2 linked regions of the Elephas maximus indicus genome follow. The protein of the gene in region 1 interacts with the protein of each later gene in a pairwise test. Links are inferred from orthologs where the notes say so. Each region holds a gene or a part of one and is shown in the gene's direction. Other genes may lie near its edges.

Region 1 (8,636 bases):
CTTCGTGGGTTGGTGAACCTAGTTCTGTCAAGTGCCCAGAGACACCTCACTTTGCCAGCAAGCCTCCTGCCCAAAGCACTCTGCTTTCTCGCTCTGTGGGCCAGAAAGCCCACTGTGTCATCTTTGCTGGACTCCCAGTTCTGCTGCTGTTGTTTCTCTGCCACCACTTCTCACTGTCTTGAGCCATCTCTGATGTTACAGCTCTCTGTCTCCTGGGTCTAGCAGGTTCTCAGCACAGGGATCCTCGGTCCAAAGGACACACTCCACTCCTAGCTGTTCTTGGTGGTAGTGAGTCCCACCCTCTCTGCTCACTTCTCTCTCCTTTTGTCTCTTGTAAGATAAAAAGTGTGACTTGAATAAGAATGGAAAGAGTGGTGACTGAGTTAACCCTTTCAAGAAGCAATTGTTTTCTGCTTTGAATTTTTTGTAGATACCACGTGTTTTCATTAATGGAAGCATGCTGAATCACTGAGTGTTGTTGAATTTTTGGTAGGTAGTATGGATTTTGTTTTCTTGCCCCCTCCCACAAGCCTACCCTTAGAATCCAGAGGGACACCCATTGCCCCACTAATTCTACCCCCAGAGTCCCCTCTGAGCCCACTGGGACATACATGTCTCCACAAAATTTCTGTTTTTTTCCTACCAAAAATGCACACAGCTCAATGCACAATACCCTGTAGAAACAGTAATTTGTGGCACACTCCTGTTTTTTTCAGTTTTAAACAGTCATAAAGGCTTCTGCCTTGTGCCAGCATGCACCCTCAGTGGGAAAGTAGCTTCCCAATGAACATAAGAGGCAGAAAATGTTGATGGACAACCGTATATCCCACTGGTCATGAAAAGGGTAAGGATGGTGACGTGAGTCATACCCTCTAGTAAGGCATTGACTCAAGATACATCCTACAGTAATTCTTTTTCGTTAACATAAGGGACAACTCACTCCCAAATGGGACTATAACCATAGGCATAGAGGCTAGGATTTATACCACATCACAAAATGGAGCATAATTATATCAGATTTCAAAATGGAGAATTACTACATCATTACATAACTTCTAAATTACTTCATTACATAACTGCCAAATGACTGAGAATTATTTTCCAGCCAAGGTGACACATAACCATCACAGGTTCCATACACCTTATTTGCATAGTCTCGCCAGTCATTGTGTGGGAATCACAAAGGCTAGGCCTACCCGTTGTCGTCAAGTCAATTCCGACTTATAGCGACCCTATAGGACGGAGTAGAACTGCGCCAGACGGTTTCCAAGGAGCAGCTGCTGGATTCAAACTGCCAACCTTTTGGTTGGCGGATGCCTAGAACGGCCATATTAAGTAGTTCACTGCACCACACCAAGGAAACGAGAAAGAGAAGCTGAGAAGAGACCAGGACCTTCCCCCAGAGCCAACAGAAAGCCTTCCACTATAGCCAGTGCCCCGAATTCAGACTTACAGCCTTCTAAACTGTGAGAAAATAAATGAGTTTGCTACAGTTACCCATTTGTGCTATTTCTGTTATAGCAGCACTAGATAACTAAGACATTCCTGCATTAACATAAACTCACTGACCCCTAAGTTTCCTATCTAACCTTTCAAGTTGCTCTTGTCAATTTGATCCCATATAGCTAGTTCTTCAAAACAGCACAACACTAAAGGCAGACATTCTTTGCTGGTTAAGCTGAGCTATTGTTTGGTTTAAAGAAGACTTCAGGGTATATTTTTTGCCATCTTGTTTTTTTTAATTGTGCTTTAAGTGAAAGTTTATAATTCAAGTTGGTTTTTCGTACAAAAACTTATATACACAGTGTTATGTGACCCTAGTTGTTCTCCCCACAATGTGACAGCACACTCCCGTCCACCCTGTATATCTCATGTCCGTTCAACCAGCTCCTGTCCCCCTCTGCCTTCTCATCTCGACTCCAGACAGGAGCTGCCCACATAGTCTCACGTGTCTACTTGAGCTAAGAAGCACATTCTTCACCAGTATCATTTTATGTCCTATCCCAAACCCACTCTAGTCCAGTCTAATCTTTGTCTAAAGTGCTGGGTTAAGGAATGGTTTCAGTTTGGGGCTAATAGAGAATCCGGGGGCCATGACCGCTGGGGTCCCTCCAGTCTCAGTCAGATCATTAAGTCTGGTCTTTTTACTAGAGTTTGGGTTCTGCATCCCACTTTTCTCCTGCTCCATCAGGGATTCTCTGTGTTTTTTTCTTTTTTTTTTTAATGCTTTCCAAGTAAATTGCAGAAGAAGTACGTTACCCCCAAATACTTCAACATTAATTATAGTTTAGATTCTTTTTGTATTGTGGTAAAATATATATAGCATAGAATTTGCCATTTTAACCATTTTTTAAGTGTACAACCCAGAGGCATTAATCACATCCACAATGTTGTACAACCATCGCCACTATCTGTTTTCAAAACTTTTTCATCACCCCAATCGGAAACTCTGTACCCATGTCTGAGGCTCGCTATATTTCAGTGAAATGGCTCACAAACCCGTGGGTCAGGCAGCAGGCTGGAGGCTTCTGACTCAGGTGGTTGGAGGGGCTGATAAACCCAAAATCTGCAGTTCAGGTGGCAGGCCGAAGGCTTCTCACGTTCCGAGAATCGGAGGTCAGAAGATGACAAGATGAACGCAGGATCAAAAGACTGTGAGCTTTGCCCCAACGTTTGTTTTCATATCATGAATGCAGGCCACACCCCCAAGGAAACACCTCTTCCAACTGATTGGCTGCTCACATAAGATCACAAAATGGGAGGTGGTTACATAGTGTCTGCCAAACCACTGAGAATCATAGCCTAGCCAAGTAGACACATGACATTAACCCTCACAACCCATTAATCATTTACTCCCCATTCCCCCTCCCCTCAGTCCCTGGTAGCCACCAATCTCCTGTCTCTGTGCATTTACCTATTCTAGATACCTCATGTGAGTAGAGTCAGACAATATTTGTCCTTTTGTGTCTGGCTGATTTCACTCAGCATTATGTTTTCAAGGTTCACCCATGTCCCAGCATGTATCAGAACTTAGATTCTTTTTTGATAGGTGAAATTCACACACAATAAAAGCCTCAAATCTCAAGTGCACAAGTTGGTGAGTTTTAACAAATGCACACGCCTGCCATGACTTGATTTTGATTCCATTTATATGACTTATCAGTCCGAGTGGTGCTGTCAGTGTGCTCAGCTGCTAACTGAATGGTTGGAAGCTTGAGCCCACCCAGAGGTGCCTCAGAAGAAAAGCCTGGCAATGTACTTCCAAAAAAAAATTAGCCATTGAAAACCCTCTGTAGCACAGTTCTATTCTGACACACACGGGGTCACCCAGAGTTAGCGCCCACTTGAAGACAACTTTTTTTTTTTTGAAGACAACTGGTTTTTATATCACTCAATGCCTGAGGTCCCTGGGTGGTGCAAACACTGTGCTTGACTACTGTCTTGGTCATCTAGTGCTGCTATAACAGAAATACCAGAAGTGGTTGGCTTTAACAAAGAGAAATTTATTCTCTCACAGTCCCGTAGGCTAGAAGTCCAAATGTAGGGCACCAGCTCCAGAGGAAAGCTTTCTCCCTTCTGTCAACTCTGGAGGAAGGTCCTTGTCATCAATCTTCCCATGGTCTCGGAGCTTCCTGCACAGGCACCCCGGGTCCAAAGGACACTCCCGGCTCTGCTTTCATGGTGGTATGAAGTTCCCATGTCTCTCTGCTCACTTCTCTCTCTTATATCTCAAAAGAGATTGGCTTGAGCCACTATCTAATCATATAGGTTCCATCAATATAACTTCCACTAATCCATTTTATTAACATCATAGCGATGGGGTTTACAACACATAGGAAAATCTCCTCAAATGACAAAATGGTGCACAATCACATAATACTGGGAATCATGGCCTAACCAAGTTGATACATATTTTGGGGGGTCACAACTGCTAAGCTAAAGGTTGACGGTTCGAAGCCACTCAGTGGAACTGCAGAAGAAAGGCCTGGCAATCTGCTTCCCTGAAGATTACAGCCAAGAAAACCCCATGGAGTACAGTTCTACTCTGTAACATAGGAGATTGCCCTGAGTTGAAACTGACTCAACAGCAATGGAGTTTGTTTCGTTTTTTATCAATGTCTGGTATTTTCTCATTCACTTATTTTTCTGTTCCCACCCTGCCCCTCTCATCACCACCACACACTCTCATAGAATCTTCTAGGGCAGAGACTGGGACTCGTTACTCATTCACCACCTTCTCCCAGCTCCCAGGAAAGTGCCAAATTCACAGAAAACAGTAGGCAATGGGGATGGAGAAAGAAGAAGAAAGTAGGCAGCGGGGATGAAGAAGGAAAATGTTACTGAAGAATCAAGTATGAGTGTGGGGGTGTCCTAGTTATCTAGTGCTGCTATAGCAGAAATACCACAAGTGGGTGGCTTTAACAAACAAATTTATTTTCTCACAGTTTAGGAGGCTAGAAATCTGAATTCATGGCACTAGCTCTAGGGGAAGGCATTCTTTCTCTCTCGGCTCCGGGGAAAAGTCTTTGTCTCTTTTCAGTGTCTGTAAGCCTGGCGTTCTTTGGCTTCTTGGTGATCTTCACGTGGCAGGGCATCTGTCTTCCCCAGCTGTGTTTCTTTTTTCCTTGCTTAACTGCTCCTTTTATTGAAGAGATTGACTCAAGGCACACTCTAACACTGTCTCACTAACATAACAAAGAAAATCCATTCCCAAATGGGATTATAACCACTGGCATAGTAGGATTTACAGCACATATTTTTGGGGGACACAATTCAATCCATAACAGGGGGACTGAGTGACCCCACGGTTATTTTCAGGAAGAAGGTAGCTGGACTCCTTCAACCAGTGGACCAACCCATTCTAAATTCTGGGATAAAATGAGTAAATACATCACACTTCTGAAGGGGAGGGACACATTCCCAGTAGAACTGAAGTTCTTGACCCAGGAGAGTTCACTGAGGTTCCCTGGGGGAATCTGAGGAGCCAGGGTCACTCCCTATCCCTGTCCCCCCCTTTGTGGGGCCCAGTGGTTGGATCCTTTGTGAGGCAGGCTGAAGGGGGACAGGGGATTCTGTGGGTCTGTGGTCAGAGTAGGTGGTTAGTCTCAGAGGAAGGAGCCCCCAGGAGCAGGGCCTCCCCACACACCATGGCCAGCGTGGTGGTGAAGACAATCTGGCAGTCCAAAGAGATCCACGAAGCCGGGGACCCCCCAGCGGGGGTCGAAAGTCGCTCTCAGCTGATCCCAGAGGCCCCTGGGGGGGTGATCAGCCCAGCCAAGGGGATCACAAAGAAAAAGAAGGCCGTGTCGTTCCATGGGTGGGTTTGTCGCACGCTATCAGGGACGGTCCTAGCACCCAGCGTTGTCTCCAACAGAGCAGGAGTCCCACTGTGGGTCCTGGAGGAAGGGAAGCGGGCAGAGGAGTGGCAGGCAAGAGGGCAGTGGTGGAGCAAAGGGGGAAGGAGGAAGGGATGAGGAGCATGGAAGGTAGAGAGGAAGAAGGGAGTGGGGATGGAGGGAGGGAGGGAAAAGTCAGGAGAAGGCCGGGGGGACTGGAGAACGGAGAAGAAAATAGGCAGCGAGGAAGGGCAAAGGAGAAGAAATTAGGCAGTGGGGATGAAGAAAAAAGTAAGTAGGTAGGGGTAAAGGAGAAGGAAGAAGAAAGTAGCCAGTGGGGATGGAGAAGGAAGAAGAAAGTAGATAGCAAGGATAGAGAAAGAAGAAGAAAGTAGGCAGAAAAAAAAAGTAGGCTGCAGGGATGGAGAAGGAGTAGGTGGTGGGGAAGAAAATGAAAGTAAGTGGAGGCTGGAGGCAGAGGAAGCAGACAATGTGGAGACAGGGAGACAGGAGGGGCCATGCCCTGGGGGCTAAATCCCGACCTTGTGCGTGTTTCTCCTCCCCAGGGTGGAACCCCGGATGTCCCATGAGCCCATGCACTGGTGTCTGAACCTCAAACGGTCCTCGGCCTGCACCAATGTGTCACTGCTCAACCTGGCTGCCATGGAGACCACCGACTCATCAGGCACAGATTCCACCACGGAAGACAGCAGTGGCCCTCCTGCACTACTCGGGCCCCCCGCCTCCCCTGCCCCACCCTGGGCTCCAGATGACCCAGACATTACGGAAATACTGGTGAGGGTCCCCCGGCTGGGGAAGACAAGGGTCCTCACACTGGTGGTAGGCAAACATTGAGGATGGGGAGGGTCTTCTTGATTTGAAATGAGAAGGTTCTTGTCACCCTTCAAGGCCCAAAGGAATGGCCTTCTCCTCCCTCCACTGACAACCAGACATCCTGGGCGAATCATGCCTGCCCTGGGAGTTTTGTTTTTAGTTCATTCAGTTATTTCCACATGTTCCAGGCAAGGCTGAGGTCACAGGCAGGACCCCTCAGGGAGCTCCCAGTCTGGTGGGGGGCAGCAGACATGATATATGCTATAATGAAGGTGACACTGGGAATCCCATGGAAGGGGCCCTCCATCCAGGCTGGGGGTATCAGGGAAAGCTTCCTGGAGGAGGCAGTGCTAAAATTGGGCCTTGAAGGATGAGTAGGAGTTCTCTGGGTAAAACTGGGAGGTCAGCAAGACCTAGGGAATTCCTGAGTGGAGCATGGAGCTCTTCAGCTTGGTCCCTGAGCTTGTCTTTTCTCTCCTTCCCCACCACCAAGGCGTCCTCTGGGCCAGACCCTGAACAGAGTCAGACATGGACCCTGAGAATCACTAACAATAACCACGATCACCATGAGGATAACAAGGTTCACTAGCATTTACTGAGCACTTTCTAAGTTTCCAGGAGCCTCAGTTTCCTCATCTGTAAAATGGAGATTCATACTTTTGTTCTTCCCACAAATATTTCCTAAACCCCTACGAGATACCAGGCACTGGCCTAGGAGCAGAAAATAGAGCAGTGAACAAATGAGAATTCTGGAGATAGCAATACCCACCTCATGAGTGAGGGTACCATGAAGACGAATTGTGGATAAGCCATGTTGAACGTGTAGCACAGCGGCCAGCCTCTGGGAAACACTGACTAAGTGCTGGCTATCACCGTTGCTGCTGTTATTGATCCCCATTTTACAGATGGAGACAGTGAGAGCACAGAAGTTTAAATACTGTACCTAAGGCCACATAGCTTGTACATGAGGGAGCCAGGCTTAGGAGCCAGGCAGGGGGTGAGAGACATCCTGAACTAATGGGGGCAGCAGAGGTCCCTGTGGGAGCTTTGAGGAGGGAGGCCTTGGCCCAGCTGGCTATGGTCAAGGAGAACTTTCCTGAAAAGGCAAAACACAAGCTAGATTTTGAAGATAAGATATTCTCCAGGCAGAATACAGAGGAGGGTGTTCCAGCTATCTGGAACAGCATGTGCAAATGGACAGGGGCTGAAATGAAAGGAGGGAGATGAGGTTGAAGGGGACATCACGTCACAGGCTGAAAACATGGGCGTTTCTCCCGAGGGCGTTGGGGAGCCAGTGTGGGTCCATGAGCAGGAGAAAGAGAACAGTAACTTAGGATTTTGGCTCCTGTACTAGTTTTCTAGGACCACCTTAACAAAATACTACAAGTGGGTGGCTTATAAAAACAGAAATTTAGTATGTCACAGTTCTGGAGGCTGGAGGCCCAAATTAGGGCATCGGTACTCTCTCTGAAGCCTCTAGAGGAAGATCCTTTCTTAGCTCTTTCAGCTTCTGGCAGTCCCAGGTGTTCCTTGGCTTTATGGATGCATCTTCACATGGTTGTCTTCCCTCTGTCTCTCTATATATTTTCTCATTTATAAGGGCACCACTCAGATTGGATTATGGGCCCCTTTACTCCAGTATGATGTTTACTGATTACACCTGCAAAGACCCTAGTTCCAAAAACCAAACCAAACAAACAAACAAACAATCGCAGCTGGAGAAGAAGATTCCAACTCATAGTGACCCTATAGGACGGAACTCCTTCATAGGGTTTCCAGGGCTGTAAATCTTTACGGAAGCAGACTGCCACATCTTTCTCCCATGGAGCAGCTGGTAGGTTCAAACCACCTACCTTTCAGTTAGCCGCCAAGCACTTAACTACTTCACCACCAGGGCTCATTAAAGGTAAGCAGGTGCCACTGAGACATGAACTGGAATCCCTGGATTAAAAATTCAGAGTGCTGGCACAGTGACTAAGCAATCGGCTGCTACCCAAAAGGTCAGCGGTTCGAAGCCACTAGCCACTCCGCTGGAGAAAGATGTGGAAGTCTACTGTGAAAATTCAAAGGAAACCAAACCCGTAAAGATCACAGCTTTGGAAAACCCTATGGGGGCAGTTCTACTCTGTCCTATAGGGTCACTATGAGTCAGAATCAACTCAACAGCAACGGGTTTATTTCCAAACGAGGTCACATTCACAGGTACCAGGGGTTAGGACTTCAATATATTTTTTGGGGGGGACACAATTCAACCCCTAACGTCTCCTTTCCCATTTACTGTGCACCTACCATGTGCTGGGCAGAGTGCTAAGTCCCTCAGGGTGAGGATCTCATTTTCTTAGAGTTTCTGTGAGGGAAGTGGCATAACTACCCAGCTTAAAGATGGTCCACCAGCCGCTTCTTGGAAACCCTATGGGCAGTCCTACTCTGACCTATAGAGTTGCTATGACTCGGAATCAACTTGAT
Region 2 (6,666 bases), on another chromosome or scaffold:
GCCCTGACTACACCTCATTCCCCTCCAGGCCCCAATCTGTCCACAGGGGTGATGCCTCCCTGCCAGAGGTGGCAAGCAATACTGGCAAGGAGAGGAAAGGACCAGCATCCTTACCAAAGCAGCCTGGCACCTGCTGGCAGGGAAAGGGGCCCCCGGCGGCCACAGAGGGAATGGCCTGCACGTAGCACTGTGGCTGCAGTCCCACGCATCCTCACCTAGCCTGCCGTGCCCCTCTTCTAACTCTGTACCACACTCCAGACCACCTCTTCTGGACCTGTGGCTCTTGGCTGTCTCCTGAGGACAAGAGCCTTCACACAACTCTCCCGAATCTGCCATCCCCTATCTGCATCCCTATTTTGGGCAGACCGCAACCCAGGGGGCTGGGAAAAGAGGTAGGTCCACTCTGGGCCTGCCCTCTGCACCTGCCATATCCAGTCCACCTCTCTGCCTAGCCCCTCCCTCTCCCCACAGCCCCCTAGTCTCTTCCCACAGCAACCAGAGCCCACCTCCATCATCCTGCTCTCATTGCCCATGAAGGAGCCCAACGGCTAGCCCTGGAGGTCCTCACAGGTCTAACCTCCTGCTGTTTCCCCTCCCTCCTCTGCTGGCCTCCCAGCCCATCCCTCACCCCCACCCCGCCGTCGTCACACTGCGCACTGGTCTGGGCAGACATGCCCAGGCTGTGCTCAGGGGCAGAGACCCCGCCCTTTCTCATACCCTCCCGGTCTAACTCCTGCCCATCTCACCAGGATCCACAAGGCCTTCTGGGAGTCCCCAGAGGTACCTGGACACACGCATCCCAGGGCACAAGCACAAACCAGGCCCCAGGTAATACTGGAGGAGTCAGAGCCAGCCCAGACCATGCTACTCACCTCGTGGTCAAGCACACTGCACAGGTGGCAGCGGGGGTGGGGGCCTTCTGGAGGCCAACTTGGGGAAGTCCTGAGGAGGAGCTCATGAATGTCCTCCCTCTGTCACATCCGTGCAGTTCAGCCAAGAGGCAAGCCTGGGTGGGAGGGGCCGTGGGAAAGAGCACTCGTGTACCTCCTCGGCAACCAAATCCATGAGGTGGGCATCCAATGGCTGCCTTCACGGTGAGAAGACAGCTCGGGGGGCAGGTGGCCTGCCTGAAGTCACAAGCCTGGGGTGGGGCCTGTGACCAGCTCAACCCAGGGGCTCCACCCTCATCACCCCAGCCCCACGAGGCTGCCAGTGGGGGAAGGTCATTGCTGAGGGCAGGTGCTCCAGCCTCTCAGCCCCTTTTCAGCCCTGCAGCTTGCCAGGCAGCTTGTGTTTTCTGATCTGTCACCGTGCCGTTCTCCCAGCCAGCACCCAGCTCTCAACAATGCCGAGCTGTCCCACTAGCCCAGGAGAAGAGGGGGTTAGACCCCTTCAGTGACCCCCAAAGACCCTCAACATGGCCCTCCATGGCCTGTCCGAGCTCCCATCAGCCCCTGCACACTCTTGCCACACTGCTTCCTCAGCCTTCAGCTGCCCCCCACCCTTCATTTGACGAATTCCCCTGACAGTAGTCTTCTCCAGCCTCCCTAAGTCCAGTCCCGAAGCTCTACGTCCTCACAGCACCGTGGGCATCTGCCACAGAACAGCCACCATTGTCAATTCACACTTGGTGTGATAACGAGCCATGCAAATCTCCTTCCGCACCTCTGGGCTCCCTGAAGGCCAGGGCCTGCCTCTAGTTTATCAGCATCCCCAGCACCTAGAACAGACTCTCAAGTATTTGTAGAACGAATAAGTACATGGGTACCCACTTTATAGAGGAAACAAGCTCAGGGAAGTGGCTTTCGTGGTGTCAAAGGACCCAGGTCCGTAGGTCTCCAACCCAGAGGACTTTAGCACTAGGAATAACCCTGGAGGGCCCCAGGTCCAATCTCAGCCCCTCAAACACACACACCTGAGTCCCCACCCTGCCTGGAAGGCTCAAGGATGAGGAGGCTCCCTCCTCCCAGAGCTCCCTGCTCCATGCCCACAGCTCCCTTGGTGATGCTGATCCTGGGCAGAGTCAAAGTGCAAGGGATGGAACTCACAAGAAAGGGAGGAGTCAGTGTGCTCAGCCAAGAAGGCAGACACACAGAAGGACTCCCCGGAGCATTTAGGAGCATTGGAGGGATGGGGAGTAAACTCCTGTGCCACATGCTCCCGGATCCAGCCTGCAAATCCACACAGTCAGCCCCTTCTGAGTCCCGCAGGAGTGAAGTTCTGGTAGTTTTAGCCGAAGGGGGTGCCCAGGAGAAAGGAAATGTACTGAGCTACAACTATTAACAATGGATGCTCTTGAGAAAGAGTGGGCCCAGGGGAGAAGGGCTCAACAGGGACAGGGGGCTGTAAGCAGGGGATCACCACTCTGCTCCCACCTGACATCTCACCAGGATCCACAAGGCCTTCTGGAAGTCCCCAGCAGGACCTGGACACACGCATCTCAGGGCCCAAGCCCAAGCCAGGCCCCAGGTAATACTGGAGGAGTCAGAGCCAGCCCAGACCATGCTACTCACCTCGCGGTCTGCCCTGCCCCTGGAGCTCTTCCACACTAACCTCTGGACAGAAAGCTCCTGGTCAGGTCACCAGACAGGTCCACACGGCCATACTTCTGGCCAAGATAACATCGGCTGGCACCCCTGCCTCTTGTCAACCCAGAAGAAGCTCCTCCACGTCCCTGCTCCAATGTCACTTCCTCTTGGGAACCTTTCCTGGCCAGCCACCTAGAAGCAGGAACACTGAGCACACGGCAGGCCTGCCTGGGCACCTCAGCCACAGCTGCCAGACAGAGCTCCTGAGCCAAGGAGAGCAAGTGCTCCAGACGTGTGGGCTCAGGGTGCTCCTGACAGACGAGAAGCAAACATCGGAGCTTCCAAAGGACTTAAGGAGACACATAAGGATGGTGCAAAGCAAAAGCCGATGCACATATCCTGAGCAAGCACCTGGGTGAGGAGCGGGGCCTGATGCATGGTGAGGAGTCCAGCAGGCAAAAATACTCCCACTCTTCATGAAGGTCCCAAGTGACAGAGTTCAGGCCCCCCTCCTCACCCAGGTGCTTGCTCTTAACAGTCAATGGTTGGGGTGCCACCCCGCCACACACACACCCAAGCCCTGCCAGAGGCCCCACCCACTCACTGACCCAGGCAGCCCCATTCAGCCTCGTCACCTCTTACCTGGTTAAAGGCACTGGCCTCTAAACATACCCTAAAGCCCACTATCTACGCTCGCTGCCAATGACCGTCTTAAAATGCGACTTGGGTCACGGCCCCTTCCGTCCTGTGCCGTGCAACAGCTGCCTGTCACCCAGGACAAAAGCCCTCCACAAACTGGCCACAACTCACCTTCTCTTCCACTTCCCACACAGCCATCAGGATGCCCTACCTCCTCCTCTGGCTGGCCAAAGCCTTTCCCTTCCTCAGGCTGGCCCCACTCCTTGAAACACAGGTCTGTCTGCCCTGGGCTACAGTACACACAGCTGGCCATTGCAGCATCCCTGCGCCCTGCCCACCCTGCCACCCACTCACACACTCCTGCTCACTGGAGCAGTGACTCCCTCTACCTACCTCCCAACCCCAAAAAGCTGCAGCTCCTGTTCCCAAACATGGAGCTGCTCCTAGCCACCAGGCTAGATGTCGCCACCTGGCTGGGCCAGGACAGTCCCTCCCAGGCGTCACTGGCTTTAGAGACATACTTTAGAGACAATTTTCTTCACCCCCACAAGAAAGCTACAGAAAACCACCCCTACTGGAACCAGGACCAATGCAGGTTCAGCCCCCACAACCAGGGGTGTGAACTAGGCCCCGGCCACCCCCCTTCAGGCCTGACGCTGAAGGCATTCCTTGTATTGCCCACCCTGGCAGGAAAGGCACAGCAAAGGAGGTGAAGGGAGGGTCACCACAGTCCTGGGTGCCAACTTCCTCCCCACAGGTGGGCAGCGGGTGCTCTTGCCAGGCCGACCTGGCTTTGCATTCTAGGGGCCCATTCACCCCACCTTAGTCCCCACTCCCAGCAGCCTGGCTTTATGACTTCATTTGCTGAAGTCACCCAGGGACAATGCTGAGCATTCCACCCTCCAACTCCAAGCCCAGCCCACTCAAGCACTCCCCACAGTGTAAATGAGGACAATGTCTGCTGGCCCACGTGGGGAGGGGATGTAGAGGGCAGCGGCACCGGCCGCTCCTGGCACCATGGACGATGCCGCAGTCCTAAGGAAGAAGGGTTACATCGTGGGCATCAATCTGGGCAAGGGCTCCTATGCAAAAGTCAAATCTGCCTACTCCGAGCGCCTCAAGTTCAATGTGGCAGTCAAGATCATTGACCGCAAGAAAACACCCACTGACTTTGTGGAGAGATTCCTTCCTCGGGAGATGGACATCCTGGCAACCGTCAACCACCGCTCCATCATCAAAACCTACGAGATCTTCGAGACTTCCGATGGGAGGATCTACATCGTCATGGAGCTTGGCGTCCAGGGCGACCTCCTGGAGTTCATCAAGTGCCGGGGAGCCCTGCATGAGGATGTGGCACGCAAGATGTTCCGCCAGCTCTCTTCGGCTGTCAAGTACTGCCATGACCTGGATGTTGTCCACCGAGACCTTAAGTGTGAGAACCTTCTCCTCGACAAGGACTTCAACATCAAGCTGTCTGACTTCGGCTTCTCCAAACGCTGCCTGCGGGACAGCAGCGGGCGCATCCTCCTCAGCAAGACCTTCTGTGGGTCTGCGGCATATGCAGCCCCCGAGGTGCTACAGGGCATCCCCTACCAGCCCAAGGTGTATGACATCTGGAGCCTGGGTGTGATCCTCTACATCATGGTCTGCGGCTCCATGCCCTACGATGACTCTGACATAAAGAAGATGCTGCGCATCCAGAAGGAGCACCGCGTGGACTTCCCCCGCTCCAAGCACCTGACGAATGAGTGCAAGGACCTCATCTACCGCATCCTGCAGCCAGACGTCAACCGACGGCTGCACATTGATGAGATCCTCAGCCATGCTTGGCTGCAGCCCCCCAAGCCCAAAGCCATGTCTTCCAGTTCCTTGAAAAGGGAGGGTGAGGGCAAGTACCGGACTGAGTGCAAACTGGACACCCGGCCAGGCTCGCGGCCTGACCACCGGCCCGACCACAAGCTGGGGGCCAAAACCCAGCACCGGCTGCTGGTGGTGCCTGAGAACGAGGACAGCAGGATGGAGGACCGGCTGGCCGAGGCCTCCAGGGGCAAAGACCATCACCCTTCTGGAGCCGAGGTGGGGAAAGCAAGCACCTAGCAGTAGTGAGGGCCCCGGGTGGCTGGTGAGTGGTTGGCACTCACGTAAACTAAGTAGCCAGCTAGGAGCTGAAGAAGGCACAGGTGCAAGGAACAAGTAAAATCCGTCAATTAAACCACTATTTTGATTATGTTCTATTAGCTTTCTTCCACTCAGTAGCAAAGACATTAACTACTGACCACCAAATAAACCACAAAGTATATAAAGCTGCAACAGTGCCCAGTGAGGAGTCTTTTTCTCTAGGACTCAGCCAGCCCCGTCCCTGCGCGTGGGGGGTTCCGGTATAGGGACACAGGAAGATTCATCGCGAGGCCTGTGGGCACAGACCCCACATCTGTCTCCCTCTGACTTGCTCCCAACCCTACTGCCAACACAGGCTGGGATAGGTCCATGTCTGGCCACCTCAGATGCAATGCAGCTCACTTGACCCCACCACACTCTCATACTATCCTTTCACAGCATCTTCCTCTCCTCCCACCCCTGGGGGTGCCCTGCTAGGACCGGTCCTCTACACCCTCCCCAACCTCTCGCTTGCCCTGTGAGCTCTGACTTCCCCAGTGTGTCTGTCCAGCCCCGCGCAAGGCCCTAAGCAATGGTTCACGGGCCAGTTTCTGCTTTGTTCCCCACATGACCCCAGCACATGCCCCACACTAGCCAACTGCTCAAGGTGTTCTGGCTGCAATTCCTGACCCTGTGGAGGGCCCTGTCTGGAGAATACCCCCTTCTCTATCTGACTCATGCCCACCTCTGCCTCCCCACTTCCTGGGGGCTCCCTGAGGCCAAAGCTCACCCTTTCCTAAGGGGAAAAAGCACCGAGAGCCCCACCTTCCAGACCCCTAGGCAGTCCCAGCCCCACCACACCCCGCCCCCATCCCTTGGTGGTAGAGGGCATGCTGGGGGCTCAGCCCCACCAGGAGCTTGCAGGAACTGTCAGGAGCACAGGTCAGTGCTGCCCTAGGCAGCGGGTGTCAGGTCCTGGGTTGGGCCTCCAGAGAATATCAAGGACTTATGGGAGGGAGTGGCCAGATGGAGGAGGCCCGGGTGCAGGAAGCTTAGAGAAGATTGCCAGGTGCAGCCTGAACAGACTCCCAAGTGTGCTTCCCTGAGTACCCTAGGCTCCGGAGCCCCCACTGTCCAGGAGGCACAACCTGTGTTCCCCACTTAAGGCCTGAAGAACCCTGATTCGACAGCCTTGGTCCCAACTCTGCCCCAAAGGCATGGCCCTCTCTACCTTGGCTGTAGAGCAGGCTCACAGGACCAGTGGCTGGAGGTGTCCCATGGCTGAGGCATCGATATCCTCATACTTCTGGGCAAGTGCTGTGGCCAGGGGTACACTCAGCCCTCCCAGGTCTACGGGGATCCTAGGCTGTCTTTGTACCCTGAGGCCCAGGTTACTGATATC

The links.
Region 2: the proteins of TSKS (region 1) and TSSK2 interact in binary tests that used the Homo sapiens proteins (3 or more experiments, as listed by UniProt). The link is inferred for Elephas maximus indicus from reciprocal best matches to the Homo sapiens genes TSKS and TSSK2.

What each region holds. Positions count from the first base shown.
Region 1 is NC_064829.1:100,183,779-100,192,414, reverse strand, and holds the start of TSKS (testis-specific serine kinase substrate), read left to right. Parts: upstream 1-5,101; 5' UTR 5,102-5,147; coding exon 5,148-5,317; intron 5,318-5,902; coding exon 5,903-6,131; intron 6,132-8,636. UniProt on the Homo sapiens protein: May play a role in testicular physiology, most probably in the process of spermatogenesis or spermatid development.
Region 2 is NC_064840.1:34,803,480-34,810,145, reverse strand, and holds TSSK2 (testis-specific serine/threonine-protein kinase 2), read left to right. Parts: upstream 1-4,132; 5' UTR 4,133-4,184; coding exon 4,185-5,264; downstream 5,265-6,666.